Drosophila melanogaster: one gene and its partners. The gene in region 3 interacts genetically with the main gene of each other region. Each region holds a gene or a part of one and is shown on either strand. Other genes may lie near its edges.

What was found.
Region 1: of trc (region 3) and vimar, changing one suppresses a phenotype caused by changing the other (phenotypic suppression), as found in Drosophila melanogaster (one study listed by BioGRID).
Region 2: of trc (region 3) and Mob2, changing one enhances a phenotype caused by changing the other (phenotypic enhancement), as found in Drosophila melanogaster (one study listed by BioGRID).

What each region holds. Positions count from the first base shown.
Region 1 is NT_033778.4:6,981,502-6,991,909, reverse strand, and holds the start of vimar (visceral mesodermal armadillo-repeats), read left to right. Parts: upstream 1-6,197; 5' UTR 6,198-6,491; coding exon 6,492-6,498; intron 6,499-8,923; exon of another isoform or gene 8,924-9,201; coding exon of another isoform or gene 9,202-9,941; intron 9,942-10,000; coding exon of another isoform or gene 10,001-10,167; intron 10,168-10,224; coding exon of another isoform or gene 10,225-10,394; exon of another isoform or gene 10,395-10,408. Other genes in the region: CG17002 (uncharacterized protein), read right to left, coding at 3,142-3,339, 3,645-4,129, 4,222-4,272, 4,977-5,076, 5,134-5,565; CG30156 (uncharacterized protein), read left to right, coding at 9,202-9,941, 10,001-10,167, 10,225-10,394. UniProt on the Drosophila melanogaster protein: Probably acts as a GEF (guanine nucleotide exchange factor) for the Rho family of small GTP-binding proteins (G proteins) that stimulates the dissociation of GDP to enable subsequent binding of GTP.
Region 2 is NT_037436.4:11,547,150-11,557,557, reverse strand, and holds the start of Mob2 (Mob2), read left to right. Parts: upstream 1-4,445; 5' UTR 4,446-4,728; intron 4,729-4,864; exon of another isoform or gene 4,865-5,019; intron 5,020-10,408. UniProt on the Drosophila melanogaster protein: Required for the normal morphogenesis of a variety of polarized outgrowths including epidermal hairs, bristles, arista laterals, and dendrites.
Region 3 is NT_037436.4:19,829,977-19,840,384, forward strand, and holds trc (tricornered), read right to left. Parts: upstream 4,329-10,408; 5' UTR 4,117-4,328; coding exon 3,634-4,116; intron 3,168-3,633; coding exon 2,958-3,167; intron 2,901-2,957; coding exon 2,794-2,900; intron 2,749-2,793; coding exon 2,252-2,748; intron 2,195-2,251; coding exon 2,100-2,194; 3' UTR 888-2,099; downstream 1-887. Other genes in the region: CG32221 (uncharacterized protein), read left to right, coding at 4,825-5,314, 5,378-6,069, 6,145-6,261; kto (kohtalo), read left to right, coding at 6,700-7,312, 7,374-10,041, 10,116-10,408. UniProt on the Drosophila melanogaster protein: Serine/threonine-protein kinase involved in controlling cell structure and proliferation of a variety of polarized outgrowths including epidermal hairs, bristles, arista laterals, and dendrites.

The DNA of each region.
Region 1 (10,408 bases), on a different chromosome or scaffold from region 3:
TGGTTTACAGCTTACGTAATCCAATGAAAACGTGGCTTGGAAGCATTATTTTCGGATTTCGGTGGGTTGGGAAGGGGTGAGGGGAGCGCCAACTGTCGCGCCCGCTGACATTCCCTAATTAACAAGTGTGCTCCGCACAATTAACCTCACGTTGTTCCGTATTTAAATGTATTTCCACAACGCTCGGCACACAAAGAGAAATAGAATTTCGTATCTCCATTGATCGAAATCGCACTATCTAAATGAAACTCGTACTGGGATGAGTCATTGCCCCTAAAGATGGAAAATTAAGTGTATCTAATAGATACAAGCGCTGAAGATCATCTCGATGGATTGCCCACATTTACTAAAGATTAAAATATTAAAGCAATGTAACAATTGGCACGAACAAATCAAGATTTTTTGCAGCTATTTCTGTTTCAGCAATTTTGAATGCAACACGAATTCTTAGGAATAAAATATAACTCATACGGATTTTCCCAAATGGAAAAGCCATACATACAATATGATTACTAAGAATATACACAATTTGAAATTAAAATGATCAATATTCATATTATTTGGAATATGATCATATTGCCCCCTTTTTCCTACAGTGCTGTCTTCCCAATTATTGTCAAAATAGAATCAATTATGAATCATTTGCTTGCACTTCTGGTTATCTTCCTCGAGCAAATACTTTCTGTAAATGTCGAATTAGCGTCAAATGAATGACATAAGTGAGATTGCCTTCCAAGGGGAGGGACACTCGCTGGCGACGAAAAGCCCGTGGTCGAGATTGAGATCTGCATGCGTCACACTCGAGCAATTTCGAAAATGCACTAATGCCGCGGAAAAACCTCAAGCTGCTTCCCATGGGTGCGGGGTATCAAATTAGCATGTACACAGAAAGTAAAACTACTGTGAAATCAATCTCACTCAAACAAAAGATCATTCTCAGCGTTTTCAGTCAAAATTCCTTTCGCACATTATTGAAATATTTTTTTCTGTCAGTATACTCAACTTGCAGCTGACCAAACAGAATGTATCATTTTTCTCAGACCTACAGTATTGAGATATTAATACAATGAAATTCGTCATAAAAGTGGTTGAATGAATCCGTTTTCATAAATCGCAAGAGTAGTAGTTACTTTAGCAAATATTTTCTATATATACAGCTGTGTTCATAAAAATAGCAGTGCTTTGGACCTGAGAGTTTAAGATCAAAAATTCCTAGGATTTACAGTTTTAATGGGATTTTTTTTTTTTATAATATCATTAGGTATTTAATTTTAAACAATTTAACAAATGTTTCACTTTTATTTCTTCAATAGTTTCGAAAATATAGATTAAAACAACAAAATAGGTAGAAACTCTGGTTTTCAATGTAAATATTGAAAAAAACAGTAACAAAATTCAACTTGACCTAGAACTAACTTAGTTTTTCTTTTTAATACGTTAATTCGGGCCTAATACTTGGCTGGATAGCCTTTGTTAGCCAGCACAGCCTTACACCCACGCAGCATGGAGTCCACCAGGTCCTGGCATCATTTGGGGGAATTTTTGCCCATACATCCTGCACAACTTTCCAAATCTAAGCCTTAGACGTCGGGGAGTTCTTCGACACATTTTGTTTAATTTCCCCCCACAGGTTTTCAATCGGGTTTAAATCGTAAGGTGGTGCTGGCCACGGCATTGCATCTATTCCATTTTTGGGTGAACCTATTCTTTGCCGATTTGCTTCTGCATTTCGGATCATTATCCTGGTGGAATGTCCATTTTAAGGGCATATTATATTCAGAATATTACAGTAAGACATCAATGAGTATATTTACATATGCTATTTGGTCTATAATACCATAAATCATATGTTATGGACTCATACCATTGTAAAAAAAAAAACAAGCATATACCACAATTTTAGGTTCACCGTGGTTGAAAGTCTTCAGTGGGTGTTTTGGGTGGTATTCCGTGTTTGGAGGTCGTCAGATATACTGTAGTGAACCCGTTCCACCAAATTGCACGATTTTTGACCCATCAGTCCAAAGGATATTACGCCATTTGAAGACTGGCCAGTTTAGGTAGGTTTTAGCGAAGCTTAACCTTGCCTAAATATGCCTTGGGCTAAGTAGGGGAACCTTTCGTGAACTCCTCGCACTGAAATTTTGATTTAGTAGTCGTCTTCGAATAGTATCGTCCCTGATTCCCAAGTTGAGCTCAGACTTTATGTCCCTAAAGGATGCAAAAGGATAGACTTTGCTGTAAGAAACAATGCGTCGATGCTATATATCTGTGGTTATATCTATGGAACCACGGTTTTCGGGCTTCCATTCATATTTAATGACATTGGATACCATTTTGGCAGAACATTCAAGGGTTTTTTGAATGTTCATATATGTTTTTACTTCCTTTCTAAGCTTAATAATTAACATTCTTTTCTCCTGGGAGCAGTGCTGTCCTTTACCCACTAATATATAATTTTTTTCATTTACTCCCCTTTTAAATGTACGAATTAATCAAACTCACTTTTTAAAAATATTGATCATTTCCTGACTTTACGTTGGTCAAAACCAGACACTGCTATTCTTATGAACAGCCTAAAAGTTGTGATTTCGCTTAAGAAAGTAAATAAAAAAAGGATAACATGAAAAACTAACCGGATTTTCTTTTTTTCCCTATATACACATTCCATTTAACAAAAATAAGTGGAATAAAAAGTCAATTCCGAAAAGGGACATGGAAAAATACCTTTGTATTAATTAGTATTCCTCGCACTGCTATTTTTCTGAACACAGCTGTACATACCATTTTATATAATAGTCATTTTTTATATGTATACATGATCCAATTTCTATTGCCCAGAATTTCAAAAACTCTTTCGAGTTAGATCAATTTGCCTGTTGGTGATTAGAACTACGATACCTCAAAGTTATTATGGTATAACCACAGAACCACAGAAGCCCATTGATACCAAATATCAAATCAATATCAAATATCAGTATGGTATTGTCGATTGGAAAATAGGGACGCCATAGTTGTGTGCTTTATTTCGTTTATCCGACTTCACGTGGGAAGCGTAGTCAGTGTTGTAATGTCTATTTAAAATCGTAAGTATATCAGTTAGCGAGTTCCGTAGCGACAAAAGGGGTTAGGGGTTAGAGGCTAGTACAATCGCCGCGTGTAATGCATCTGCTGACCAGGAGGCGGCTGGGCGGAGCCGGATCCGGACGGTGCTCCCGGCTGGCCAGGCAGCATCGCCAGCTGTTGCCGAGCCAACTGCTGCTCGTGGGCGGATCCACCTCGTCCAGGGGCATAGCCCTGTGTGATGCTTCCCGCTGTTTTCGGATTCTGTGGAGGAAACTGGCCAGGCGTTAGTCAAGTGAATATTTAGTTCTTCCTTGTAAATGATATCAAACATGTTAATCAGTAGTTGGGAAGTTGGTTCTAATGCGTTTTCCTATGAAAACATGAAAACCTGCAACAATGAATTTGTTTTATAGAAAACAGCTCTTATTCAAGATGCTCAGGCTTTAAAAACCATTTTCGCAGAGCCTAATCGTTGAACTTCGATTTCGAAGATGTAAATCTAACTTGTTTGTTCTAAGTTGTAAATTCTAAGACACTGCCACGGCTAATTAACCACAAATGTTGAGAATGAGACCCACCTGGCTGCTGCTTATCTGCAGCACGTTGCTGTGCAATGAGAGTTCGTTGAGCAGCGGCTTGAAGATGACGCCCTCCGGCAGCAGGTGTGGCGGAGGCGGGACGTGGCTCGGCGGCTGGCCGTCGTGCTTCACCTCGATGTGGTAGCGGTCCGGTAGCTTCTCCATAGTCACGTGTGGCTGGGAGGCCTTTACCGAGAGGCTGCCGCCGGCTTGAGCCACCAGGTCTGCCTGCGAAATGGTCGGCTGGTCGAGGTTGATGTGAAGCACTTGCATGGGCTGCGACTGCGACGGTGCCTTGGGCGACTGCGAGTCGGGCGGCTTGCTGACCGTGGCGCTGGGCAGGTCCACGTGGTAGGCCTGGCGCAACGGAAGGTTGTAGTTGTAGATGGACTGCAAGCGGGCGTCCGCCTGGTGCTGTGTCGTCGGCGGAGGAGCGACCGTCTGGTAGAAGACCGTTCCCGTGCCCGGATACTGTGCCGCTGTTTCTGGAAGAGAGGAAAAGTGAGGTTTAATTGACGAATCTGGCGATCGTTCCGACGGAGGATCTCGGGCTTGGTATTGCAAGTGAGGTGCTTACTGTTCCATGATAATCTAGCATAGTCAGCGGCACGACGGTAGTCATCGTGTTCTGCGAATCGATCGTAAACAAATAACGAAATGAACATAAGTTGTGTGCCTGTGTTGTTAGAGGTTAGTGTGCGCAGTGAAATGGATTTCTCATGAACGGGACGGAGTGTTAGCGAGCAGTTAATCAAGAAGAACAGCGAAAGCTCCGCAGAACAGATCAATCGGTGATTGTATCGCACCTTTAGCCAATGCCAATTTGCAGTTGAATTTTAAAACTCGAGCTATCTGCTAGAAACCCTATATATATCGTTTCTACACTATATATCCTTCAAAATAATAGGGTAATTTTTGTGCACATTAAAACACATTAAACTAAACCATCCAATACAAAGCCTAAACAGCACGAAACTTTCTTTATATCGAATTGATTATTTACTTAACACTTAACCATGTTTTTGCAATCATTCCTAATTAGAAGTTCAATTGATATTAGTGCTAATATTTCATAGAGCTTAAAAAAGGGCTTGGCAATCAGAATGTAGAGATGATGACATCACAAAAATCACGTATATCTCTCGTCCAAATCAAGAACCATACATATGTGCTAACCAATTCAATGACTAATCAAATTATGAGCAGATCCCGCATTCGAGTTAACAAAATCCAACCGAAATTGCGTGCATGAGACTTTGGACTGCCTGCCTGAGGCAGCGTTCACTGTATCGGAGGCCCAGGGACCACATTGTCGACCTCTTCCTGGCTTACTCTGCTGGGCGTAGCTGGCGGCGCTCTTGTAGTAAGCCTGCTGCTGACTCGGCGGCGATGGACTCCTGCCACGTTTTCCTGGCTGTCCGCCGGACGGGAGCTGCGAGGAAAAAAGAGGACCATTAGAACCTGAATCCCACAATTGCGCAGTCGAGACCTTCTGCATCAGCGTATGGTGCTGGTGTTGGAGGCGCAGGGGCGGCAGGAAGACCGGGCTACTGGCCGCCGCCTGCTGGATGGCGAACAGTTCGTTCTCCTTGGCCAGCTTCTTGCGCGTTTCGTCCTCGTTGAGCACCTTCTTGAGTTGGACGGTCAGCTGATGCTTCTGGCTGTGCAGATCGGCCAGCTGCTCGTCCAGTCGGGTTATCTGGCCGCGTGTGTCATCCAGGGCCACCTGGTTCTGGCGCTCCACCTCCTCGCGCTCCCGTCGCAGCCGCTGCTCCTCGCACTGAGCCTCGAACTCCTCCTGGCGCCGCTGGCGGTCCGCCACGATGAAGCCCTTCAGTGCCCCGCGCAGCTTCTCCGCCCGCTCGGCCTTCGCCGCCTGGGCGGCCGCGTTGCTGTTGTTTACCGCTGATGCTGGCGGCATCTTTGTGCTCTGCTTAGTTATCTTGCCAATTTTATAAGCGTTCGTGGACGACCGGGCAATCGCGACTGTTTGACCGAACCGACCGAGAGGCTCCCCAAATGGAATGGCGTGCTGGTGGCGGTGGGCTGGAATCCGGGTGGACACCGCTACGGGAATCAATGGTTGGGCGTCTTGGGATCACTGCAAATGCTCGACGCCGGGCTGCACTTTATTTTCGTTCACTTTCAGCACGGTTTTTTGTGGTAAACAATTTGTTGAGTGAGTGGGATGTGCCGACCAGTGTTGCCACCAATCGATTAATGGGCAAAGCTAGCTAGAAAATAGCTACTTTCCGATTGTGGTGGCAAATCTTAAGTTAACGTTCGAACTAAATCACTTATAAAGAATTCGATTTTTTCTTTAAAGCTTATATTCCTAATATTACTAGTCACACCCCAGAATTTAATATAAAATACAAATAGTTTCAACACTGATCGATACTTATCGATAACTTTTTGGAAACAGATTATAGTTTTTGGAAAATCCAAGCATTAAAGTCTAGACATTCTAGAAATGTCTATCGATGTTAATAAAATGCGTAAGCATCGATATGGCATCTCTCATTGGAGGTATCGTGCAGCTCGAGCTCTGCGGTCACACTAGAATTGCAGTTGTTGGTGTGAACGTCTGAACGCGATTCGGAAAATACGGATTACACGGATAATACGAATTATACGGATATTGCGGAAGTTGAACGGAGACGCGACTGAAAGAAAGCCGTGAAATGTGTTCAGTTGCGCGCAGCAGTCATTAGCCTATCAGCAGTGTTTGTTACAAGCTAACAGTGATACAACGTGCCTGGAATCGCAACCAACGCAGAGCAAGAAAAGCAGAAAAGCATAAAAACGGAAGAAGCAGCAGCGGAATAATCAACAAAGGCGGCAAACATGGCGAGTGAGTAACATCGAGCATTTCTCTGCCTATGGAGCATCCCAAACGACATACAGCAGACCCCGGATTCCTTTTCCATAGCATAAACAAACGCAATTCATGCGAGTCATTGCAGCGGCCGTTTTATGGCTGCAGTGCAGCATTTACGAGCTGCGAAAACTTCCAAATCGCTGCCAGGTGTCGGAGGAAGTTGCTCCGAGCAGGGGCAGTGGGGTGGGGGCGGGCGATGCGGCTCCCTAGACAAGATGTGTGTGTTTGCCGGGGACATGTGAGAAAAATCAATACTTATGCTCCCCACTCCCCATCCCACTGCACAGTGGGCCGGTCGGATTAGGCAGATGCCGTGCTCCTGCTGCTGTGCGCACCCACTTATCGCGGCCAACAGGGTCAGCGCTTCCCAATCAGAAATCCCGCTCTTTTATCCTTTAATGGCCCCGGCAGTTCTGGCGGGAATTAAGTGCGGCTGAGACAGCGGCCACCACCGTTTTGCACGAACCCGCCACCCGAGCCGCCCACTCCACCGCAGCACAGGAGGAATAGGAATGGGAACTGGGAACAGCAGTGACGACGCATTAATAAATGAGAATATGCCTCCTGCGAGGTGCCAGGTTTACCGGCGTGTCGCAACACTCCCCGCAGTCCTCACAATTCGTTTTATCCCCACGGGGGGTGATATAGCAAACAAAACGATGAAGTCATGCACAGTGAGAAATCTATGGCAACTTTGTTGAATTGTTGATAAACATTACAATTAGGACAATCTTCACAGATTAAGCTTAAAAGGGCTTAAAATTCGATACTACTTTGCAGTCAAAGCGCAGTCATTGTCAAGATAAAGCTGTGACTAACTAAAAGAAACCCCTTTTTTTCTTGTGTTTCTCAGTGTAGTTGGATGTGTAACGTACGCACTGGATGTGTTATATTTGGGTCAGTCACCGATGAGAATTGTTAAACGTAAACAAGTCTCTAAACTTCTTAGTTTTCAAACGTGACTGCACCGAATCAACACATACATAAACACTGGCCACAGACTGTACTGTTTGTATACCCTTTCCCGAGGGGAACCTGTGCAGAACGACAACAAACAGCACTTGAACGCGCCGGCAATCCCGGCCTCGAAACTTCCCCTTTTTCAGGAGGGGTGCTGCATCCCAATCCCCACACCACTGTACACCTCACTTGTCTACAGAACCCACCAGCTGCGCCCAGCGTAGCGAGACCCATTTCCACACTGAAAACAATTCGTGGTTCTTGTTCATTTTAATTCATATGCAAGCACTGGGAAACTTGCGCTGAATATATGATTTTCAAGACCTGTCATTCGGAGCATTCATTAAGTGTTACATAAGTTTTATACCTGAAGTATAGTACATTGAAATACTATTCGACATTACTATAGATTGTTTTGAAATCTAATGAAAGGACATCTATAAAATTCAAGGATGCAGGCCATTGGACCGTTGCGGCATGATTTACTCGCTGTGCAGATCCCAGCTGCGAGATGCTTGCCACGTCCTCCCTGCGGCTCAGTCACTTTGGACTTTAATTGGTCCTTTGTGACTGCATTTGTCGACGCTTTCGCTCGGCGTCTTCGACGCAATTTGACTGCTGTCCTTGAGGCTGTGGCTACCATCAACCCCGAGGCTGGGAGTCTGATAAGGAAGAGGATATCAGCTGCCAAAGCAGGCCGCTCCCCTCGCCAGATTCCAGATTCTAGATTCCGGAGCTGCTGCCTCTTTATTGTTATTGTTATTATTTTGGGCTTTTCCATTCGTTCCACGCAGCTTACCCAGATTAGCTGGCTGTTATTGTAGTTTGCCCGGCTTCGAATTTATTGTCCTTTTCCACCTCCTTCTTGCGTATTCCGGCGTCGTTGCTTCATTTGCTTCAAATCTAGCTGGGTGACTTGTGATTTCCCCGTGCCTAGCGCCTTCCACTCGCTTTATTCTTTTAACTGCTAATAAGATTTTGGCCCTTCTAATGGCCTTGAGAATGAATGGGGCGAGCAGGCCGCCTTGAAAAGATGAAATTGTGGGGTGGTTGGTGGCTAGCTCTGTTTTAATTGAGTTCGTGCCCTATTCAAATTGGCATAGAAATTAATTTCAATTAACTTTCGAGTCTTTTCGAGGAGGCTATGTGTGTCCCCTTGACAAGTTGTGGAGCATACTTTACGGGGCCAAAAGAGGGTTGGCATTTTGGGGAATCCCCCATCGACAGAACGTTCTAACTTGTGTGCTTCAAGTGTGCAACTTGTGTGCAAACTTTTAGTTTTTTCCGCTCTAAACTAAGCAACTTGTACAACTTGTGTCAACTTTTAAGTTGGTAAATTCGTTGGTATTTACACGAGTACTGCATGATTTAAATGTTCAATAAGCTGGCTGGTATGTAAAAAACGGATTCAAGTTGTCTTTTCTCAAGTGTTCATTGTGTTGACATACAAAATGTTGACTGGCGAAAGTCAATTTGTATTTAAGTTTGCAGCTACATATACATATACAGTCAACTTAGTTCGAAACTATTTCGGCTACCTCTAATATACATACAAAAGCACTTTGTTAAATTCACCAACTCGGTGGATTGTCCCAGAACAACAAACCAAAATTTAAAATTTGCAAACGAACAGAGAAAAACGAATCCTTTTTTGTCTTCTCACGCTGCTGGGAAGGAGAAGAAAGTAACCAAGAACTGGAGGACGACGACTTCACAATGGGAATCCTGCAGGCGAGGAGGCATCACTGCGTCGACAAGGTGGTGAGTGACCTGTGCCTGGGACACTACGAGCACGCTCTGAGGCAGATCAACGAGGATCTGGAAGGCTTACAGAACCACGATGAGATCATGGCGCTGCTGGAGCTAAAGAATATCATTTTGAGACTGAGGCTGAAGGGCGAGGCCCAGCGGACCATAGGCCCAACTCGCAAATCTGACGCCCTGCCCCACAAGTTCACACTCGAGATGCTGGACGTGGTGCAGAAGGTCCTGCGGTGCCGCAATCACTACGAGGTGCTGCGCATCTCTCATCATGCCACCTACTCCGAGGTGAAGCGGGCCTACCACAAGCTGGCCCTGCGCCTCCATCCGGACAAGAACAAATCTCCTGGGGCTGAGCAGGCCTTCCGGCGGATCAGCGAGGCGGCTGACTGCCTCACGGACTGCCAGAAAAGGATTGAGTACAACATAGCAACGGCAGTGGGCGACTGCCACGACCAGGATCCCTCGCAGTACAAGGATTATCGCGGGGAAAGTGAATTCAATGAGGCAAATGGGAACGATCTGGGAGCCGCTTTCAGAAGGCCTTATCGGGGGGCCAATCAGCGGATGCCCCAGAGGCAGTCACTCTACCAAACACAGCAACTCGTCATCGGAGTGGTGGCTGCTCTGGTTTTTCTCTTCGTCACCATGCACTTCATCGCAGGCGCTCCTGCTTACAGTTTTACGCTAACCAGGTGAGTTCTAGACTCACTCGGATGCTGAGACTGGCGTATACAGGCCCAATCTTCTCCAGAACCCACAGCGCTCGACGGCTCAGTCGGACGAACCACATTGCCTACTACATGAATCCGACGACTCTGTCCAAGTACACAGAACAGCAGTTGGCCGAACTGGAAGTAGAAATCGAGGAGGTTTACATCTCGGACCTCAAACATAAGTGCAGGCAAGAGCGGAGTTGGAGTGAGAACTATTAAACTTTGTCCAGTACCAGGCACTTCAAATTACTTCTGATTCCAGGGGATAATCTGTTTCTCAGGGCGAGGCAGGGAAACAACGACCAGAAGTTGCTCCAGCATGTCAGCCAGATGTCCACTCCCGCTTGCCAGGCGTTGCTCCAGCTGGGAAAGTCTGGTCACAGTCGACTGTTGCTCGAGAACGAGTCTTTGAATCAGGACGTGCCAGTCTGATACTCTGTACTTTT
Region 2 (10,408 bases), 8.3 Mb from region 3:
AATTTTCCAAGGCAATGGTGTGTGTGTGTGTGTGTGTGTGAGAGTTGGGTGATGATTACACTTTCACCCTCTTTACCTCTCTCTCACTCTCGCTCTCGCTCTCTACCTCTCTCTTTCTTTCTTTCCGTTTGTTGGAAACTCTCTGCGACTCGAAGTTCGCTCATTTTCCTCCAGTTTCCCTCGCCGCATCACATGTGCTGACAGCGGGCAAAGTTCGCCAAACAGCTGATTTCTGCGTCTGCCTATCGGTGTTTGCGCTTTTCTTTTTGTTATTGGATTTCCCGGCTCGACTTCAACGCCATCCGTTTTATAAATTATTAAATTTGCGGCGCATTTTTCCTTGGTCTGCTTTTCGGTTCTTGTAGGGTTTCCATGTTGCGGAGAAACCCCCGCGAACTTTAGTGGCGCGACCAGGAGGCAGGTTTCCTCTGCTGGGTCTCTGGTGATTCACACCTCCAGACGACGTTTGCTGCACATATACATTACTGTTAGCATTTCGGTATTAACCTCCGCCGACGCGATTTACACACGCCCCCCCTTTCGTTTAACGGCGACACATAAATCTCACAGCGCCACGTCCGAGACGCATATTAAGTCTACAGTGGGGGGCACAAATGAAGGACACTTTTCTAAAATGAAGGACACGCAGGATATAGAAGCCAACCCAAACTATTTAATTATCTAAAAAAAAATAAGAAAACATGTATGTACATATTTTACTTAAAATGATTAATTAATAAGGAAAAGAAAAGTTTAATTTACTTAAAAATTTTTTAATCACTTTATCATTTTTATCAAGCTGATCCATTTATCTTGTACTTCCGCTGACCAAGCACTTATTTTTTTTTAAGAGGAAAGATTTTTTATGGTTCTTACTACCATTTAAGTTCAAGCATAGTGTACAAAACGAGCGCCAATTGTTTCATTGCTATTAATTTAACTACCGCTGTGTGTTTATGCGTATGTGTTTTCGTTTATGTGGCGCTCATTCAAATTCATTGTTTTGCCATTTTTTGTGGCTGTTTTTTGTTTTTGCGCATTTCCTAATTTGATGGCAACATCTGACGTCATTGGCATTGCGCATGACCCGCAGAAGCAGCACTAACAACAACAACAACAACAACAATAATAACGGCAGCAACATCAGATACAACAACAGCGCAGTAACTACAGTAACGCTGGCAACAACATCTTGATACGCTTTGTTGTTCCGTCTTATTTATGTGGTGGCGTGACCGACTAAACGGAACTCCCGCCCCCCTGCCCCACCGCCCAGATCGAGACCCCCTTCGTGGGGCCACTCCCCCGCACCAACCCCCTCGAATCGCAGCCCCAAGCGAAACTAGAAACGTATAAGCGAGCTGTAAAAACAACAACAACAACATCGCAGGCACGGCAGCAATAAAAACAAATCACACTAAACTAAGTACACAGATAAAAATAATATGATGAATAACAATTTACAATTTAGAGAAATATTCGTAAACTATTTATTGAATTGCTTGTATCAAACATAATCAATAGAAAAAATTACTTTCTTAACCTTTTTTATTATAAAGGAACTTCTTTAAAAACTTATATTTGCCAAAAATGTAGAACTCAACATTAATTGGGTTTTATTCTTGAAAACGTTTGATACATTTGTTTTCAGTGTAAAGTGTAGTTTGAACAATTGTATTTTCTTTGCATACATATGCAGCTGTGTTGTTTGTTTGTTATTTTTCTCGAGCACCAGGAAACAATCTCCTTAACTCTTTCACTTTGCAATTAAGTAGGGAAGTTGGTTGGGGAGGGGTGGAGTAACAGCAAGTAATCATAAATCAAATATTAAGTTTGATAAGCAGCAACAACCAAGTTGTTTGCCAAGTTAATATTTATATGGAAAATTGAACGTATGGAAGACTAGTGTCTCGGTAAAACTTTGATATAAAATATTCTTTCTGATCAATAAAGAAATCATTAGCATGGCTACGATAAAAGCATCCAGCAATTATGGAAATCAGTGTAAAGAAAGTATATATTTGCCATACTATGCTAACAATAATCATAACCAACATTAAATTATCTACTTCCAGCGTAAATATAAATACAATTTTTGCTTTAAAAGAATATGTTCATTGTTCAATGTACCTAGTACAAATAAGAAAAGTTTACCCTTAGTGCATATGAACTTTTGCGGCACATTGTTTGAACTTTTATAAGCCAATGGAGCAACTCTTTATGTTTTTTTTTTTTGCTTTTTATTGGGAGCAAAAGTATATAACTGAAGGTATAAATGCAACATGGCATTTATATACAAATTGTATTTTAAGGCACTTAAACATGTTATCAAACTGATCGAAACTGTCATCTGACTTCTGAAAGAAGTCAACATGTAATGCCTTAAAATGTCCTATAAAATATTGTATTTAATTGTACCGAATCCTGGTGGTCTCTGTAAACTCTGTTTACTACCATTTTGCATTTTCCTACCTTCTTGCCGCAACATCCGCAATATCCGCAGATCGCGATCGTGTGCCGTTTTTGCTGTCCGACGGCAACAGTCGCTGCCATAAGTAATGGGCACAAAGCAATTCGAGTAATGGCAAATGGCAGCAGTTGAACCGCTAGAAAGCAGCCGAGCGTTACCACCTTTTGGAGCAAGTGAGATGGTTGCTGTGCTGTGTGGGTGGAAAGAGAGGGCCATAGAGTTGGCGGTACGGATCAGATGTTCCATTACACGCTTCGTGTGTGTGTGTGCGCAGCATAGTGTGGATGAAATTTTGATGTGGTGCAAATGAACTTGCCGCCGTTTCGGTTGCATTGCGGGCGGTCACAGGTGCGCGTTCTCTGCTGCCAAGATTCCTTTTCCTCTATCCGCTTCTCACCTTTTCGCCCCAGTCGTATTTGTTCTTGTTTTTCTTCAGCTCGTCAATGGACAGCTGTTTTGAGATACACTCGAAAAAAAGTGTATTAATGCAATTGTCTAGTAAATTTAAAAATATAAAATAAGTTTATGTGGGTTGGTACTGTTGTGTTTTTGTTAATCATTCTTTTTAGTTATTCGCTTAATGAATACCACACATGTCGGTCCAAATTTATCTAAGTGCATTGCGTGTTCCTGTTTTCAACTTTATTTACGCAGAATGACGATGCGTTTATATTATGTTTTCTTATTCGGGTCTAGATTCTGTGTAAGTTAGGCAGCAAATGCAGTTCCTGTGTTCTTCGGTTTTCGTCTACCGCTCCATTCTATTTGATTACTGATTTTATTTCTTCCTGGCCGAAAAAGAGCGTGATAATTACTCCCTGTGGAGAGATTTGATGGTCAGAGGAGTAGCTATTTCATGCGGGCTTGGGGTCACTTCATTGATAAGAACCACGTAGCTGGAGGTCCTTACCATCGAGAATAACAAATTGGAATATATCTTTAATTCTTTATTTTCTGTTTTCCTTTCAGGTGAGTGAAATATCTTGAGCATGAGCTTACCCAAATCCCAGGTAATTTGTTTAAGTCAATTAGAGCAGTCATTTTAACTGAGAAAAAAATTATAACATGCTTAGAGTATTAAACGTATTAAATAAATGTTTAGCGCTTTAACAAAACTCTATGATGTTTTAGTTGAACAGATTGTTATCAAGCCAATTAGTGTTCTTGGTAAAAGTACATAAGTGATGTGATGTTTGCGTCAATTGTACGAAATTGTGTTAGCCATTAAATTTGCCGAATTTATTTCGTTTACCTGTGATCATTAAAACCATGTGTTAATGAATCAACAATGGCAATATATTTATGAGAAATCCATTTAAATGTTTCATACGAACGGTACAATTATCCCTTTTCGTGGAAAATTAATTTCTAATTGTTATTTATAGAGTTTATCCTAGGTTTGTTCAATGCGTTAAAAAAGTAGTAGATTCTGCTACTATTCTACTGCCACTTTGCCGTGTTCTCTTGTTACCGAGCTGTGTGGCAACGCCAGCGCAGTCAGCTGCTGAGCATCAAAACATGAGCGCTCAGCTGATGCGAGAGAGCGTAGAAGAGAGAGGGCTAAAGCCAAAGCAGTCAAACAAGTGGTCGAAAACCGTATAGATGTGCGTGTCTCGCTTGAGTGGCGCATTTGTATGCAAAACACGTACACGGGCAGCTCTCTCCCGCTCAGCTGGTATTTGATACCTCTAGCTCTCTTCCTCGCGCTCGAGCGGAGAGCAAATGTTGCTGGTGTGCGAGACAGCAGCAACATCAGCAGCAACAATAACAACAACAGCAACCACTTCATCTTTACTGTGTGCTCTGCTTTCGTTGCCAGTTTTGTGTTTTTGCTTTTGCTGCCTTTTTTCTCTCCTTACTTGCGTGAGTGTTGATGTTGCCGCTGTGTGTTGCTGTTGTTGCCGCTGTGTATGTGTATGTGTTGCTGTTGCCAGCCGAACGAGCAGCAGTCAGTCAAAGACGGACGGCTTGGCTCAGTGTAGAAATTTCCTTTGGCACGCTTGGTCGCTCGAGCGGTTGCAGGTCGTCGTCAATAGTGGACTGTTGATGTCGCCGCGTCATTATTTGACATTGTTTTTCGAGGCGCCGCCGTCGGTTGCAACCACACATCATCGCGTCGCAGTTAAAAGCAAAACAGCAACTCCAGCAGCAAGCAGCGCAACATTTGCAACATCAATTGCCACCGTGAAATGCTATGCTAGATTGTGAAATAAAATCGCCTACCAATACAAACTAATATCCCGAAAAGGGGAACAAATGTAAGCCGAAAAGGAGTCTGTTCTCCAACAAAAAAAAAAAGAAAGAAAGAAAAGAAGTTCTTCTCTGTGTGTGTGCTAGTGTTTTCCCGTGCTGGTGTGAAACTGTGTCATTCGCTGCGAAAAACTGCATTCAAGTTTTTCCTCAGAGCCGCGACTGCTGGCGTGTTATTGTTGCTGTTGCAGCTAGCTGCCACGGTTTGTTGCTTCACTGATTACGCGCAATGCAGCAACAGCAGCAGCAGCAGAAGCAACAGCAACTAACTGCAGAGGAGCAATAGCAGCTGAGAGTTCAGTTGCGAAACCGGCGAAGCGCGACTGTTGCCAATGCAGCGCTTAGAATTGGCACACCAGCAACAACTGCAACGCTGCAGCAAAGCTGCTACTCCAGCGTCAGCAACAACAACGGTACATTGGGCATTCACAATGTTGCTTGGTGTGCCACTGCCACTGCCACTCCACCACTACTTGTTCCTCCACTGCCATATTGTTTTAACCACTTCCTTTGCCGCAGCGGCAGGAACTTCCTTCCTCACGAGCTTCCTGTCTGTTCGTCCGCTTGTCTGGTTGTCTGCCCTGCAACCCTCAACCCTCCCTTATTAACGCCCCCTCACACTCAACTGCATTGTCAGGTGTTTTCTCTGCCACACAGAAAGAAATGGGGGTATTGTTAGGGTTCATTTGACAGTTTTCACAAGAATTATTTAAAGATAGGTTTTTATGGAATATATCCTTATTCAAACTGCCTTTAAATACCTTCTAAAAATAAAAAGAGTGAAAATCTTAAAATAATGATATATCTTATTGGGCCTAGAGTATTTCCTCTTTTTTCCGTGCACATCCTGGTTGCGTTGTTTCTACTTTTTGTCAACCCCGTTGACGCGCCTACGTGTTCAATACGCTGAGAAAACAACAGTTACGAGTGGCTCAACCAGCAGCTTGTTATTTCTCACACCTTTCGTCCAGACCCCCCGCGCCTTCCTACCACTGCCCCTCGCCAACCCTTTGGGTCCTCAAATGCGCTAGGCCATCCATCGATTTTTTGAGGTCATGCTAAAAATTGCAAAGCCAACTGGAACTAGTTGCGGATTCCCATAGTTGAATTGCCATGGACAATTTGCGGAAGGCAGAGGAAATGAAATTGATTCAAGCCTTTGTGGTGCGATATTATCTAACCGAATTCGATTCGTTTTCTGTGTAGGCCCTTCTGTGTTGCGGATGTTAAGGATTTATGTAAGCTCAGGAACTAATTAGGAAGAAGCACTATGATATTTATCCAAACTAACAATTTTAGTTCGATATATAATGGTATAGAAAAGTATCTATGTACTATTTGCGATTGAACGTTTTGCCCCCGTTATGAAACACTTTTCTCACGGTATTTCCCCATTAAGCAATTCCAGCAAAATCGTATAGATACTAATTTAGTAACTCAGCAATCGCATTTAATCGAATTCATACATATGCATTTCGGTTCTATTGGGACTGTTTTCATTCGACGTGTATCTCAATCGATCGTTTAACCCATATGAAAAGGATAGTCACAGTTATAAACGCTGTCGGATGAATCTCTGGTAACTGGGTTAGTTAGCGACCCGAAAACTTCTCTGCGCCTTTCCGCCGAACCGTTATGCCATATGTATGTATGTATGATGCTCTGCCTGCCCGCCGGTCAGCTCTTCCAGACCAAACCAAACCAAAATGAAGCGAACAGAACAGAACAACCCAAACCAGCTCGAAGATATATATGGATGGGTTTTGTACGGCTTGGCATGGGGTTTGGTGGTGGGGGTACGGAGATACACCTATCTACTATGTATATCATGTCATCCATTGCATGTGCATCGCACATCTCACGTCACCGTACCGCTGCACAGCTTCTATCTCCCTTTCCATATCTGCTGTCGTCTTCCTGCTCGTCGTTTGCCAGTTGTGGAACTCGTTTTCATTTCTTTCGTTAGCAGACATAGACATAATTCTCCAGCTTTTCTAGCGAGCAAAGGGGGTGGGGGTTCATTTTCGGTTTCGGTTTCTATTTTTTTTTTCTCTCTTTCGACTTTGCCAATCGCTCATTTGACCTTTAACGGGTTGTGCTGCATATACATGAAAAGCACACTCAAATCGGCAACAATTAAGCTCATTCAAAACGCGAGCAATGGGCAATCTAAGAAAAAAAAAACACTCGCCGTCGCGTTGCTAGAATCACATCATAAATTTCGGTTTTGATGGGGCGCCAGTTGTTCTGTGTGCGGAGGTGTGAAAACGATACTAGAAGGGGGGCGCACAAAAGACAAAACTCGTTTGGGGGGAAAAGACAACAGAGTCAGCAAATTGGCTTCAATGCGAGTTGAAGGTTAAGTGCGACAGCGACGCGGAAATTGAACATTTTGGATATTGGAATCAGTAGCTGGTTTCGAGCTGAATAAACAAAACAATAGGCATTAACCCCTTTTCTGTCATCTTTCGATTTTTCGTACTTTTTTTTTAGCACGCACTTCAGACCATTTTATTGGCTTCCTAGTATTGTCTGCAAGCAATTAAAAGTTTTTGCTTTAAGCTGCACAAAGAGTTTCATGAGAAATTTGGGATATTAGTTTCGTAAAGTTAAAATTTAAAAGCACAAAAAATATAAAAAATACTAACAGAACGAATTAGTTTTACATTGAAGAAAGAGGATCTTCATATCAATAGAAAATCAAAGATCGAAATGTACAGGGTACCTCTTTTTGCTTATATAATATACCATTTTCAATGATTTCGTATCTACTCAGATATATTATGACAATACTAAGATGGCTAAGATGAATTGCTGCTGCAGTGCGTTTGCAAAATTCGCATTCAAACGAATCTTTAACTATGACAGGGCAAATTTCTGCCCGTTTGGCTTATGTATTTCTGTGTTTTGGGGACTGTTCGATAATTTTTTTTTTTTTGCTTTTATAAATAACCTTAAACGATTTTTCTGCGCCGCCAGGCCACACGAAAAGCGAAAAGTGTCAATGTCAGCTGTTGGTTGTGTTAGCCACGAAAACGCCAAACCGAAGCGAACCAAATCGAAAGCGAGCAAGCGATGTGAAATCGGAAAAATCGAAGACCCGTGCTAAATTTATTATTCAGCTGTCGGCATTGCCATCATAGGCATTTTCCCAACCCGTGTTTGGTTTTCCTCCTCTTTTCCTTTTTTTTTTTTTTTTTTTTTGCCTTTGCCCCGCTTTTCTAGTCCTTTTTTTTGTGCTGGCTGCCACTAAAAGCTTCCCAAAATAAACGCGAATACATGTGTTCATATTTTATACATAACGAGTATATATGTACATACATTCGCACAGTGCAGCGGCTAGTGAAAATTTGCAAAATGTTTCCGTCACACAAAAGGCACTTTATGCCTCCTTCGCTCACCTTTCCCCACTGCAAAACACGCGCCGCTAATTGCACGCGTGTGCAGCCATTTCTGCGAGATTATTTCGAGATACATTTATACACTTGCCACCAGGCCTCCCAAATAATTGCTAGCCGTCAGTTTTTTGGTCTGGCTAAAACTGTGCAGGCAAAAAAACTAAAAAACGAAACCAAACATATCGAGACAAAAGAAAATGTAATTTTTGGGGGCTAAATCGCCACCGAGCAGCTGAAATATCCGTGTTGCAATCGTGTTTTTTTCCATCACGCCCCCGCCCATTTTTTGTTTTTGTTTTTGAGGATTTGTAACAGCCTCGAAAACTCGAGATGATGTTGTATGTGAAGAAGACTCTGCTCCCACAACATTGTCAAAAAGCCATCGCCATCCTCCCCGCTAACCAACATATATCCATTGACCAAACCAGAGGCACCGTGGTCTTTGTGGCTATAAAAATCAATGAAAAATGAATATGTTTATTGTTCAACTTGACTTATTGCCTGCCCCAGCGCTGTTGTTCGTGCATCTTGTTAACACGCCTGACTACAACTTCTGCATTTTGAGCAGTGGCAATCAAATGTTTTACAGAGGAAGCTACCGTTGCATTTTCATAGCCTAGGTGATCAGCAATATTATGGACATTTTACCTATAGACAAAGACGTAGGCGTATTATGGATGATTTAAGGAAACATTTGAATACACTGTATCTGCATACATTATTTTTTAAACAAAATATTAGCTGAATGTTCTTAAAGTAACATTTTTTGTTAGTGTTTCAACTTAAGACAGACCTTAGGCTAGAAACATTATAAAGATTAGTTATCTACTCTGATTTAAGTATTTATTTCATTATTATACTTAAATCAAATTGAGAGCTTAACTGCTGATCAGGTTTTAATTTGGCATGATTTCATCTGCAACTTTTAGTTTCTTTGAGGCATAGAAACAATTTTCGAAGCCAGTTAAGACCCATTAGTAATTATACCCGCTGTTTGTAAAAGTCGGTAGGTTCCCAGTGCGATCCACCATCGTACACTTATCCATATAAAGAGCATCGAGTTGCGATGCAGCCCCCTTTTCTGTCTTTCAATTGACCGCCCACCGCCCGCAATGATGACCGCCGCTGAGATCGGCGGGCTATATAATTATGCGGTTGGGCCCCTTTGATCAAAACCCCCCGCCATTGTTGGTGCCCCTTTTGCGGGGGTATAAGGCGGCATCTTCAACCGTAGATGAAGATGGTGAGGAAGTGCGGTAACTGGATACTGGTGAAAATTGCGCTGGTTTTGGTTTTTTCCCCGATTTTTCCTCTTTCGCTGCCTGGCGGCAAACAATTTTCGGCTAGTTTTGCAATCGACTCCCACAGCCGGCCGTTTCCCGCATTTCCCTGGAAATGCCGCTGGATTTAACTATAATTTTATCTCGCTGCTTGCCTGTGTTTTTCTTTTTCGTTCATCAAATTGAGTTAGCAAAATTACTATAATTTTGTGGGAAATTTTATGGGTCAAATTTCAGCTGTGTTGACAATGCGCCGCCATCTAAAAAAAAAAAAACTAACAAGAAAATTAAAAAACATAAAAGTGGGTAAAGCAGACGCGCCGCTGACCGCAGCACAATTTTTTTTCTCCATATTTTCATTTTGTTTTTTACTAATTTGCTTAATTAGCGCGACTTACGCTCATAAATATAAGAGTGTGTGTATTTATGGAAGGCCCCACTGCGGGTTTATTTTTTACACGATTTAATTGGGTCTATGTATTTATTTTTATTGTTTTTCTCCTCGGTAATTTCAACGGGCCGCTTCTTGGCGTTTTATTTTGTTTTATTCGGTTTTGGCCTTTCTTATTTCTCTCACGTTTTGGGCCCAGTACAAGTTTATGGCGCAGCCTGAGAGCGCCGTCGTGAATGGATTGAATTGGAGTTTAGAGCTTCAGTTTGGAGTACAGTGAAGCAGCAGTAACGGCGGCAACAGCTACAGCAACAGCAGCAGCAGCAGCAGCAGTTGGTATGGCAATCCGGATCGAGGGACCCCATTAATGTTGGAAACGTGATGTTTGTGCGGCTTTTTGTGTAACTCGCCGTGAGAACTTGGCGGCGTTGCAATCGTTCAGGTTTCGCTTCGTTTTAGATGACAGCTGCGAATTGAATCGTTCAATCGGAGAGATCCGATCCAGCAATTGCAGCACGTAGATCATCGATCCACGGATACATGGTTTTCCGTTTTCAGTTTTTCTTTTCTCTTTCGCCTGCAATCGCAATCGCAGGCCCATTTGCATACTCATGTACTC
Region 3 (10,408 bases):
GCAATCCGAATTCCAATTTCAATTCAAATTTCAATTACAAACATACATACATATGCATATATGCCCGCACAGTAATCGAACCGTAATGTAAACAAACATATAGCTGAAAATGGAAAATTGAAAATGGACAACTTACAGTTTGTTTGTTAGCTGTGTGTAAATGTGTCTCGTAGGGTTTTCCCCGTTCTCCCGTTTGTAAAGTTTTGCCTACGCCCCCCTCAGCTGATGTAACAATTCTTATAGTCTGTAGTCTCCATATGCTAATACATTTATATATGTAGTATATATAATAAACGACTAGCTATATATTCCGATTCACGCACACACGCGCCACGTACACAGCGAGAAACCACGATCGACACACATACACACATTAAATCGCAGATGGAAAACAAGTTACTTTCGATTTTCGAGCCTAACCGCCTGACCAATTCAATTTGAAATCTTTATTTTCATGTCTGTAATGGTTTCGGATGTTGCACTCAATTAAAGCCAAGCCACATTGTTCTGATACAGATACAGAAACTGCAGAACTGCAGAAAATGAAATCAACGCCCTCTCATCAACACACAAAACACAAATCAAAAATCGAACGCGAGTGCAGATAGGGAAATATCGAGAGAAGTGCAGATGAAAAGATCGACAAAATATATACATACATTTAAATGTACAAAGCCTAGCATTTGTGTCGTGTTACTTTTTGGTTTCCTCATGCTTACTTATTTCGAAAATACAATACAATACCATTTAGGTTAAAGATGAAGGTTCGTCGTATCCATACCCATTCACATGTTGTTACACTACGGGAAACTCAAAAGCTTAAGGTTTCTTTGAGATAGGTTTCATGATTCAAGTGGAAATAGGGAGATGATTCCAAGGTTGATGTCCACGGTGTATGATTTCATGAACCACATCCACCTCATAGAATGCTTCAAGGATGCTAGCACTCCTGTAAGTAATGCACTGATTGCCCAGATCGAGTCGAATTCAAGTAAAAAGCATGTATTTGTTAGTTATTATGCACATGTTTCATTTATTATTGCATTTCATGTTGCTGTGTGTGTAGCATTATTATCGAATTATCAGTATGCTTACTATTATTGTATTCTATTACCAAAAATAATTTCTTAAAACTTGTTTACTCGTTTAATTTATTTATAGGTATATTATCAATTATTTTAAGTTTGCATTCTGCAACTGCTCGGCGTTGAGTGTTTGCTATGTAATTGGATTTATACTTGCCAGCGGTAACTCGGTAACTTTTTCAATAATTCACTTTTGCTCAAACTACAATTACTTGGAACTAAAAACTCCAGCGGGAAGTAGAATGTTTTTAAATCTATATTCGTGTCCGTGGGCGCGGGTTGTGGTGGGGTGGGATGGGGCAGGTGTACATAGAACGAAACCGATATTTAAACATACTTTTATTTATTCTGCTGTCTAGATTAGCTTTTGTTGCTATTGGCATTAGTAACTAATTTGTGTGATAGATTTTCGGATTCGGTTTTGTGTGTGGGGTTCACTATGTATTAAGACTTTGTTTCATTACAAGTTGATACAAAACATATACGTACAATTAACGTGCCTAAAAGTTATAACATTTTTAATTTGCTAAATAATAAATTTATGGGTATTTCGCTGCTGCCCAATAAGTAAACAATATATATATATATAAAGAATTGCCGAATGGGTCCCTAATATGGGGAACTGGTTTACAAACACAACGTTTAAACGATTAAGATCGGGATTAGGGATTGAACAAAGCCAATGGAAGGACATTTGAGGATTAGTATAGCGTTTAACCTAGCCCGAGGCGCGGGCGACGCTCTAAGACTTTTTTACATACAATACATCGTTTGTTCGCGTTATCATATTCTTCTCTTGTTTGGAATCACAAATGTTAGCTAGTATTTAAATACACATGTAGGTAAGACATTCAAAAAGGAAAATCGGGGATTTCGTTTAGCGTGGAGAATGCTCTTGGTGGTGATGGTGTTAGAGAGACGACGGCTGTGGTGGTGATAAAATGGGTGGCAAAGTGCGGCAACCTTCAAGCTGCTACTGCTACTGCTCCTGCTCCAGTTCCTGCTCTGCTGGATTCACTCCAAATTTCGCACCTCGAATCGTTTGTACGTGTAGTTGATAAAGACCCAGTCCTTCGCAATCTCACCGCCCTGCGGTATGGGCGCCGATGCTGCAATGGATGCACGTTAGTCTGTGTGCTCGTCCCTTTGCTTAAAAATATACTTACGTATCTCCAGCGACACATCGGGAAACTCGTCGAAGTTGGACGTATCGTCGATTGAGCGCACCTCAACGGGTATGGCCGCGGGACGCTCACGTATGTGCTCCCAGTCAACTCCCCGGAAGAACGGCACGGACTTCAGATCCTCCAGACCGCGCTGGGAACCCAGCCGGCGATCGGCCTCGCAGCAGAAGTTGATGATCGTCTCCTTGGCCTCCTCCGATATGGGGATCTCTGGGGGAAATATCAGCGTCTCGCGCCAGTTCATCACCTTGCGGTAGGTGTCCTGGGGATTGTCCGAGCAGAATGGAGGATAGCCCATCAGCATTTCGTACATGATGACTCCCAGGGACCACCAGTCGCAGGCGGGTCCGTAGCCAGTCTGCAGAAATACTTCGGGTGCAATATAGTCCGGCGTTCCCACGGTGCTGTAGGCGAGGGCGCGTCGATTTCGCTTCCACGACTCGGCACGTCGCTTGGAGTCCATCGGACTGCAGGACAAGCTAGTTTATTTAATAAATACAAGCTTAGATTCTTTCACATCTTACCTGGCGCACGTGCCTATAAAATCGGATGGTTTCGCCTGCGACAAGTCCCGATAAAAGTCTGTTCGATGCGACTTCTTTAAGCCAGTGCACAGTCCGAAGTCGGAGAGCTAAAATAATAATAGAGTTTTTAGTGGGCTCATCTCAATTATCTGGATTCCACTTACCTTCAGATGCCCTCGCGCGTCCAGCAGCAAGTTATCGGGCTTGATATCCCTGTGTATGAAACCGAGTTTGTGAATAGAATCGATCGCCAATGCCGTCTCACTGATATAGAACTGTGTGCCCTCCTCGGATAGCGTGTCCTTCTTCATCAAAAGCGTCATCATATCACCACCAGGCAAGAACTCCATTATCAAATATAAATTGACGGGATCCTGTGGAAAGATATTTCAAAAACATTCTCACATTATTACTGAGTAAGAAAATACTTATATATGAATGCAATTGTATTTACATTCATTGTACAATAATTGTAATATGCAAAAATATCTTATTAAACAAATATTTAACGTCAGAGAAATGGCGATTCAGTGTAGGCTGGTTCGCCTGTGTCAAGAACTTTCACCGAGAAGAAGTTGACAAAAGAGAATCGAGAAAAAAACAACAAAGGCGGCCCACGCAGAGAATGAGAGAGGAAGCGAGAGAGCAAGAGAGACGTGACCATATGATTGGCAAAGGCGCTTTTGGCATTTGCCGTTGTATTGGTTTATTGATTTTTTTGTCCGTGTTTTAACACAATTCTTTTGTTATGTGCGCTGCCGCCCGCTCCTTCACCCCATCACCCTTTCTCCCACCCACCCTATATCATTGTTTTTGTTGTAGCTGGCGCTCGTCACTCACCTGGAAACTGTAGTACATCTTCACCACCCACTGATGATCGGCCTCGACCAGGACATCGCGCTCGGCTCGTACGTGTGCCACCTGCTCCTTTTCCAGCATGTCCGCTTTGCGCAGCACCTTCATGGCGTACACATGTCCCGTGTCCTTTTTCTGCACCAAACGCACTTCACCGAACGCGCCGCGTCCGATGACTTTGAGGGCCTCAAAGTCCTCCACACCGAGGCGCAATCGCTTCAGCCGGAGATACTCCGTCTCCTTCTGGGCATGCTGCAGACGCTTCTCCTGGCGCTGCGCCTCCGACAAGCTCTCGTCCTTCAGCTGAGCCTCCAGCTTTGCGAGGCGCTGCTTTCGCTCGCCATACTGCGTCACCAGGTTGCTGTAGTAGTTCTCCAACGTCACCTTGGCCTTGGTGGCCTTGTCCAGTGTGTGGTCGCTGAATCTGATCGAGGCACCGTCCGCGTCCTGCGTTCTGCTGCTCATCATCTAAGCTGGGGTTTTTGTCCTGGTCACCTCGGTCCTATTTGGGGCTTGTGTGTGTGCTCCCTGCGATGTCGGTGCGTGTGCGTGTGTGTGGTGAGGAGTTATGCACTTGCCAATGCACACACACTGCTTTCTTCGCCCGTTTCTTGCCTTTTTCCTCGGTAATTTGTTGAAATTCCTCCCTCTGCTGCTTCTTCTTCAAGAGCCATTCGCATTTTGCATCCCCAACAAAGCAAAGTTGGCTGCGATCCAGTGGGGCTATCGATAGCTAATCGATTGATTTTAGAACTTTAGTGCTTTTGGCTCGCAGATAGTCATGACAATTAAGCTTTCACCGACAATTGTATAAAATTTATGTACTGAAATTACGTTACTTATTACTTACATTGATTTTTTTAATTAAAATTGATTAAATTTAAATTTATTTAAATTTACTTTAAGGTCATGTTATTATTTACTGTAATTCTATTAAGAAACAAAGCTTAAACAATAGTTAAAATATCTTAGCTTTAACCTTTTAGCTTGAATCTTGCCAAAAGACTCTTACTTCGAAAATTGTCATCACTGCCACCAGTCCAATTAGTAAATAAATAGAACTTACCGACTTGGGATAAATTTTTCCATGTCAGGCGTACATAAACCAGTTGCCTTTGCTAATCTGGCCATTTGGCGCCTGTGACGGTCCCGCGCAATGAGCATAGTCAGCTAATAATGGCCCGCATCACCAGTATTCTGGACTTGGACCCCAGTTCTCTGTTGTTCATCTTCAAGCTTCTAAGCTTGGAGGACCAGTTGCACTTGGCGCGATGCTGTCGCATTTTTAGGGATGCCTTTCTTCGCCTGCATCGCCATGATTTCCAGGATGTTGTTGACAAGGATATGAGTATAAGGACTCTGGAGGATTGGCGCACCTTTCTGTGGCTCTGTGGCAGTCGCATCGGTACACTGGAATCCCACTTTGACGATGATCACCCGCTGCAGCTGCTCCCGATGATCAGCAGACACTGCTACCGACTGAAGTCCATCTCTATATACAATGCAACAGTGGCACGGGCGCAACCGTATTTATTGAGGATGAGCTCCCTGGAAAAGGTGCACGTGCGTAACTACAAGAGCACCAGCAAGGATCTAATAAAAGCCATTGGGATACACCTTCCGCGGGTCAACAGTCTGAGCCTGGAGAGCTTTGAACGCAAGGAGTGTAAGAACTATTTAATGTTCACCTTATCACAACAATATTATTTAATTGCTTCTCCCTTCACAGTACAAGAAGTACGTCAGTTTAGCGAGATGCTGGAACTTGGCTTGTACGACGACGTGACCGCCTCGGAATTCGCAACAATTGTGAAACCCATGAGGAAGCTGCGATGCCTTCAGCTGCGCAACGCCAAACGCTTTCTGACTACCAGCAATCTCAGGATGCTGGCCACCAACTGCCGCCACCTGGAGAAGCTGACGTTCAATGACTGCGACGCCGATCTGTTGGTCCTGCCGCAGTTTGTAAACCTCAAGTACCTGCAATTATACTGCTCGGAGGATATGAAAACGCGCCTGTTCAAGGCACTGGCCAAAAGCCAGTGCTCCATTCAGTTGGAATACCTCATCCTGCACCGCAAACGCTGGATTGACGAGGAGCAGGCGCAGTACATCAGTGCTTTGAAGTGTCTCCGGTGGCTGGTCTGCAAGCCTCGTGACGATCTGTGTGTTCACCACTTGGCGAAGTTGAGTCGATTAGAGTGCCTTTCCATACAGTCCGCTCGTGAGATTGGAGAAACGCAGCTCTCCCTTTTGGTGGCCAACAATGAGCGCCTTCGGTATCTGAACATTTGCTATTGCCTGGGCATCACAGACGCCTTCGTCTTGGACACGCTGGCCAGCTTATCGAAACGCTCAGCTCATCAAACCCTAGAGCTATTTGCCGCGGCCACTGACATTAGGCATGACATCATGGAACGGGTGAGTAATATTTAAAGCACATACATATATTCGAAAGTCCTTATGTTAATGTGACACTTTGTGCTTCGTTTGCAGCTACCGCACGAATTTCCCCTGAAAATGCTCTGTTTGAACTTCGAGTGCAGCGATGGAATGACAAGCGGCGGACACTTTTATGCCGATGAGCCGGAATTCGATCGCCAAGCCTTGTGAGGCCTTATTCGTTTAACAACGAATGTTTCTTCAATCATTACCAAAAATACAACGTAAATTATTTAATATTTATACGCAGCTTTATTCGTGATCTTACCACTTTGAGTGGTATTTCTTTTGTTAGTGCACAACGATGTAACTTTTTCACTGCATAATTAAAAAATTACGTCATATTTAAAGTACTGTATCAGGTTGATTGGGGATGTGTGGCTGAACATGATAAGATTACATTTGTAATATTTACAACCATTTAACACTTAGCTTAAATTCGATTGCATCCGCTAGATTGTTCGCGGGATGTTATCGAACTATCGATGGCTCATCGCATTTTTTCGCCCCACCACTGATATTTTGATTTGTTGTTGGGTTGGCGAACAGAGGAAATCGGGAATTCGCTAAGAAAATCTGTTTATAAAACGCAACTAGAGGGCCGCGAAGATGCTGTCCATGCTGCAGGAGAAGCGTCCGCTGAAGCGCACCCGTCTGGGTCCGCCGGACATCTATCCGCAGGACGCGAAGCAGCGAGAGGACGAGCTGACGCCCACGAATGTGAAGCACGGATTCACGACGACGCCACCGCTGTCCGATGAATTCGGTACGGCCCACAACTCGAATGTGAACGCCAGCAAAGTGAGCGCATTCTTTAGCGGCGTCCTGGCCAAGAAGGAGGAGCTGATGACCCTGCCGGACACGGGGCGCAAGAAGCAGCAGATCAACTGCAAGGACAACTTCTGGCCCGTTTCGCCGCGTCGCAAGTGTACGGTGGACGCCTGGTTTAAGGACCTCGCCGGTAACAAACCCCTACTTAGCCTAGCCAAACGGGCTCCATCGTTCAACAAGAAGGAGGAGATCTTCATTACTCTGTGCGAGAACCAGGTGAACATGCAACGCGCCACCTGGTTCATCAAGCTGAGCGCCGCCTATACGCTTAGCTTCACCGAGTCTAAGAACAAAAAGCGATCCATTTACGACCCGGCTGCCGAGTGGACCGGCAACATGATCAAGTTCATGAAAGAGCTGCTTCCCAAGCTCCAAGAGTATTATCAGCAGAGTGAGTACAGTCCTTAAGTTCTATAATCTATCAACTCCCTTATTCAACTTCTTGATTTTAGACCACGACAAGTCCTCTTCGAATGGCACCACTTCCGGAAGCCTGACCGCCGCCGGTAATGGTCCTGCCAGCAATGGCTCCACTGGCACCAGCTCTATTAACTCCGTCACCGGTAGCAGTGCTTCCACGAACGTAATCCCGGTACCCAGCATGGCCAGTCCACTGCCACCGATTCATAGCCCAGCTAATGGCCAACAGGCAGCTCCTGGCGGAGGAGTGAATGCCGGCAGTGTCATGCCGACGACGGGAAGCCTTGGCGGAGTAGTCGGTGGGCCGGGGTCTTCTGTGGTAGGAGGCGCAGCGGGTGCAGGAGCTGCAGTTCCACCAGGCTCTACAATTTCTGGAATTGGAAGCCAGTTCGAAGATAGTCGCAATGCGCTTAAGTATTGGAAATACTGCCACCAATTGAGCAAGTACATGTACGAGGAATCACTTTTGGACCGACAGGAATTTCTAAACTGGATCCTCGACCTTTTGGACAAGATGCGTACGCAGGCAAGCTTCGACGAACCGTTGAAGAAATTGGTGCTCAGCTTTGCCCTTCAGTACATGCACGACTTCGTCCAGTCGGAGCGTCTTTGCAGAAAGATGGCCTACATAGTGTCCAAAAAACTGGCCCAGTTGCTGAACACTGTCGTAGAACAGCAGACCATCAAAGAGTTGGACGAGCCGAAGTTGCAACAAGATCCCTATGAGCTGGCGCTTCAGGAACAAATGAGTTGTCCCCATCATCGGGATATAGTGCTGTATTTAAGCACGATCCTACAGATCATCACAATCGAGTGCCCCACAGCTCTGGTCTGGAGTGGGATAGCAGCTCACCGAGCACCCTCCTCGTTGTTGGGTAGTCCGCTGGACCATTTGCCTTTGGCGCCCTCAGTCTTGCCGATGCCCACACGCTGTCCGCGAACCAATCACGAGATTCGACGTCAATTGCGGGCCGCCGAGTCGGACATCGTATTGCGCACTCAGCATGCAGAGCAGCGCTGGTTTGCAGCCAAGTGGCTGAGTGCCGGCAAGAATCAATACACCAGTGTGCTGGCTACACTGGACCACTTGGACACGCACTGCTTCGATCGCATGGAACACAATAATAGTATCGATACCCTATACGCACAAATATTTCCCAGCCCAACTGTCAGTCGCAGGCGGGAGGAGGATCAGGTGGAACCTCGTCCGCCTTATGAACCCAAACAAGACAAGGACACGGTACGCATTCTGTGCGAGTGGGCTGTGTCGGGGCAGCGTTGGGGAGAACACAGAGCCATGGTGGTGGCCATTCTACTTGACAAGCGCCAGATCGACGTGACAAGCACGCCGGCGGATCAACAATCCAGTGATAAGGATGACAAGGACTCGCTAGCTTCGGGCGCCGGCTTAATTGATGGCCTGCCTGTGTTTCAGCACGTGTTAATGCACTTCCTTGACCACGATGCTCCCGTCCTCGATGAGCACGTGAGCAGTCCACAGCAGCGCACGGAATTTACCAACCTTGTTCAGCTGTTCAGTGCATTGATTCGCCACGATGTCTTTTCGCACAACGCGTACATGCACACTCTAATTTCACGAGGAGATCTGCTCCTGGAGTCGGTGCTGGTGATCAAATCAGGAACAACGGCCACGAAAACATCGCCGCCACCTCCAGCTCCACCACCAACGACGACGCACGGTTTCGATGATGACGGATTCGGCGGGGGCCTGGACTTCAAACACAACGAATTTGATGATTCCAATGTGGACGACGATTTGGACAAACTGGTGCAAAATATTAAGGAGAAAGGACAACAGCACGAAGCTCCAGACAGTCCCAAGATTGGTCCTCCAGGCGATGGAGAAACCAATCCTGGCGGTAGCATATCGCGGCATTACGTGTACACCAAGCACTTCCCCATCCCCCAGGATGATCCCAGCATGAGCAGCTACAGCAGTGAAAGCAACCAGCGATACATCCTGCTCTTCGGAGTCGGCAAAGAGAGGGACGAGAAGAAGCATGCTGTCAAGAAGATGTCTAAGGAAATTGGAAAGCTTTTCACAAAAAAGTTTAGCATAGATGTGGCGGCGGCCGGTCATGTGAAGAAGCACTCGCGCAACGAGTTTAACTTCGAAGCTACCACGTCCAAGTGCCAGCAGATGGCTTATTTCGACCAGCATGTGGTCACAGCCCAATGTGCGGCCAATGTCCTGGAGCAGCTGAACGGATTCGCGTTAGGGAACAACAACTACCTGCCGGTACAGGAGCACGTGGCGTTCCTCTTTGATCTGATGGAGCTGGCTCTTAATATCTACAGTCTTTTGGAACTGTGCGATAGTCTGTTGAAGGAGTTGCCTGAGGTGGAGCACCAGTTGCAGCTAAAGAAGTCAAACCTAGTGCGCAGTTACACCACTTCACTTGCCCTCTACATCGTCAGCATCCTGCGGCGCTACCACAGCTGCCTTCTTCTTTCACCGGAGCAGACGCTGTCTGTTTTTGAGGGAGTCTGTCGTACCATTCGGCACGTATCGAATCCGAGTGAGTGCACTTCGGCGGAGCGCTGCATTATTGCCTACCTGAGCGACCTACACGAGTCGTGTGTTTTGCTCCAGGGAAAGGAACAATCCACGGAGTACTACCAGCAGCTGCAGTGCATCAAGCGGTTCAAGGACATATTCAACACTCCAGAGCAGCTTGAGTGAGTTTAGATCGCAAGTTCTTCCCCAATAATATAATATATAATATTAACAAATATTACCATTTTTTATTTAGCCTACCACCTCAGGGTTACAACCCACTGTTGTTGCAGGAGCTTTTCATGGCCCCTCGACGCGGTGGTAAACTGGATCCTCACTGGCTGGGAACCCTGCACGAGTCGCCGGCCAATGTATACAGTTTCGTGTCTAACGCATTAATAGCCGTCTGCCGAGAGACGGACAACGAGCGGCTGAACGATGTGGCCCTCGCATGTGCCGAACTGACCGCCAGCTGCAACGTCTTGTCTGAGGAGTGGATATACGCACTGCAGAGTCTGTGCAGCGGCAGTAAGAGTCCGCGTTATCCGC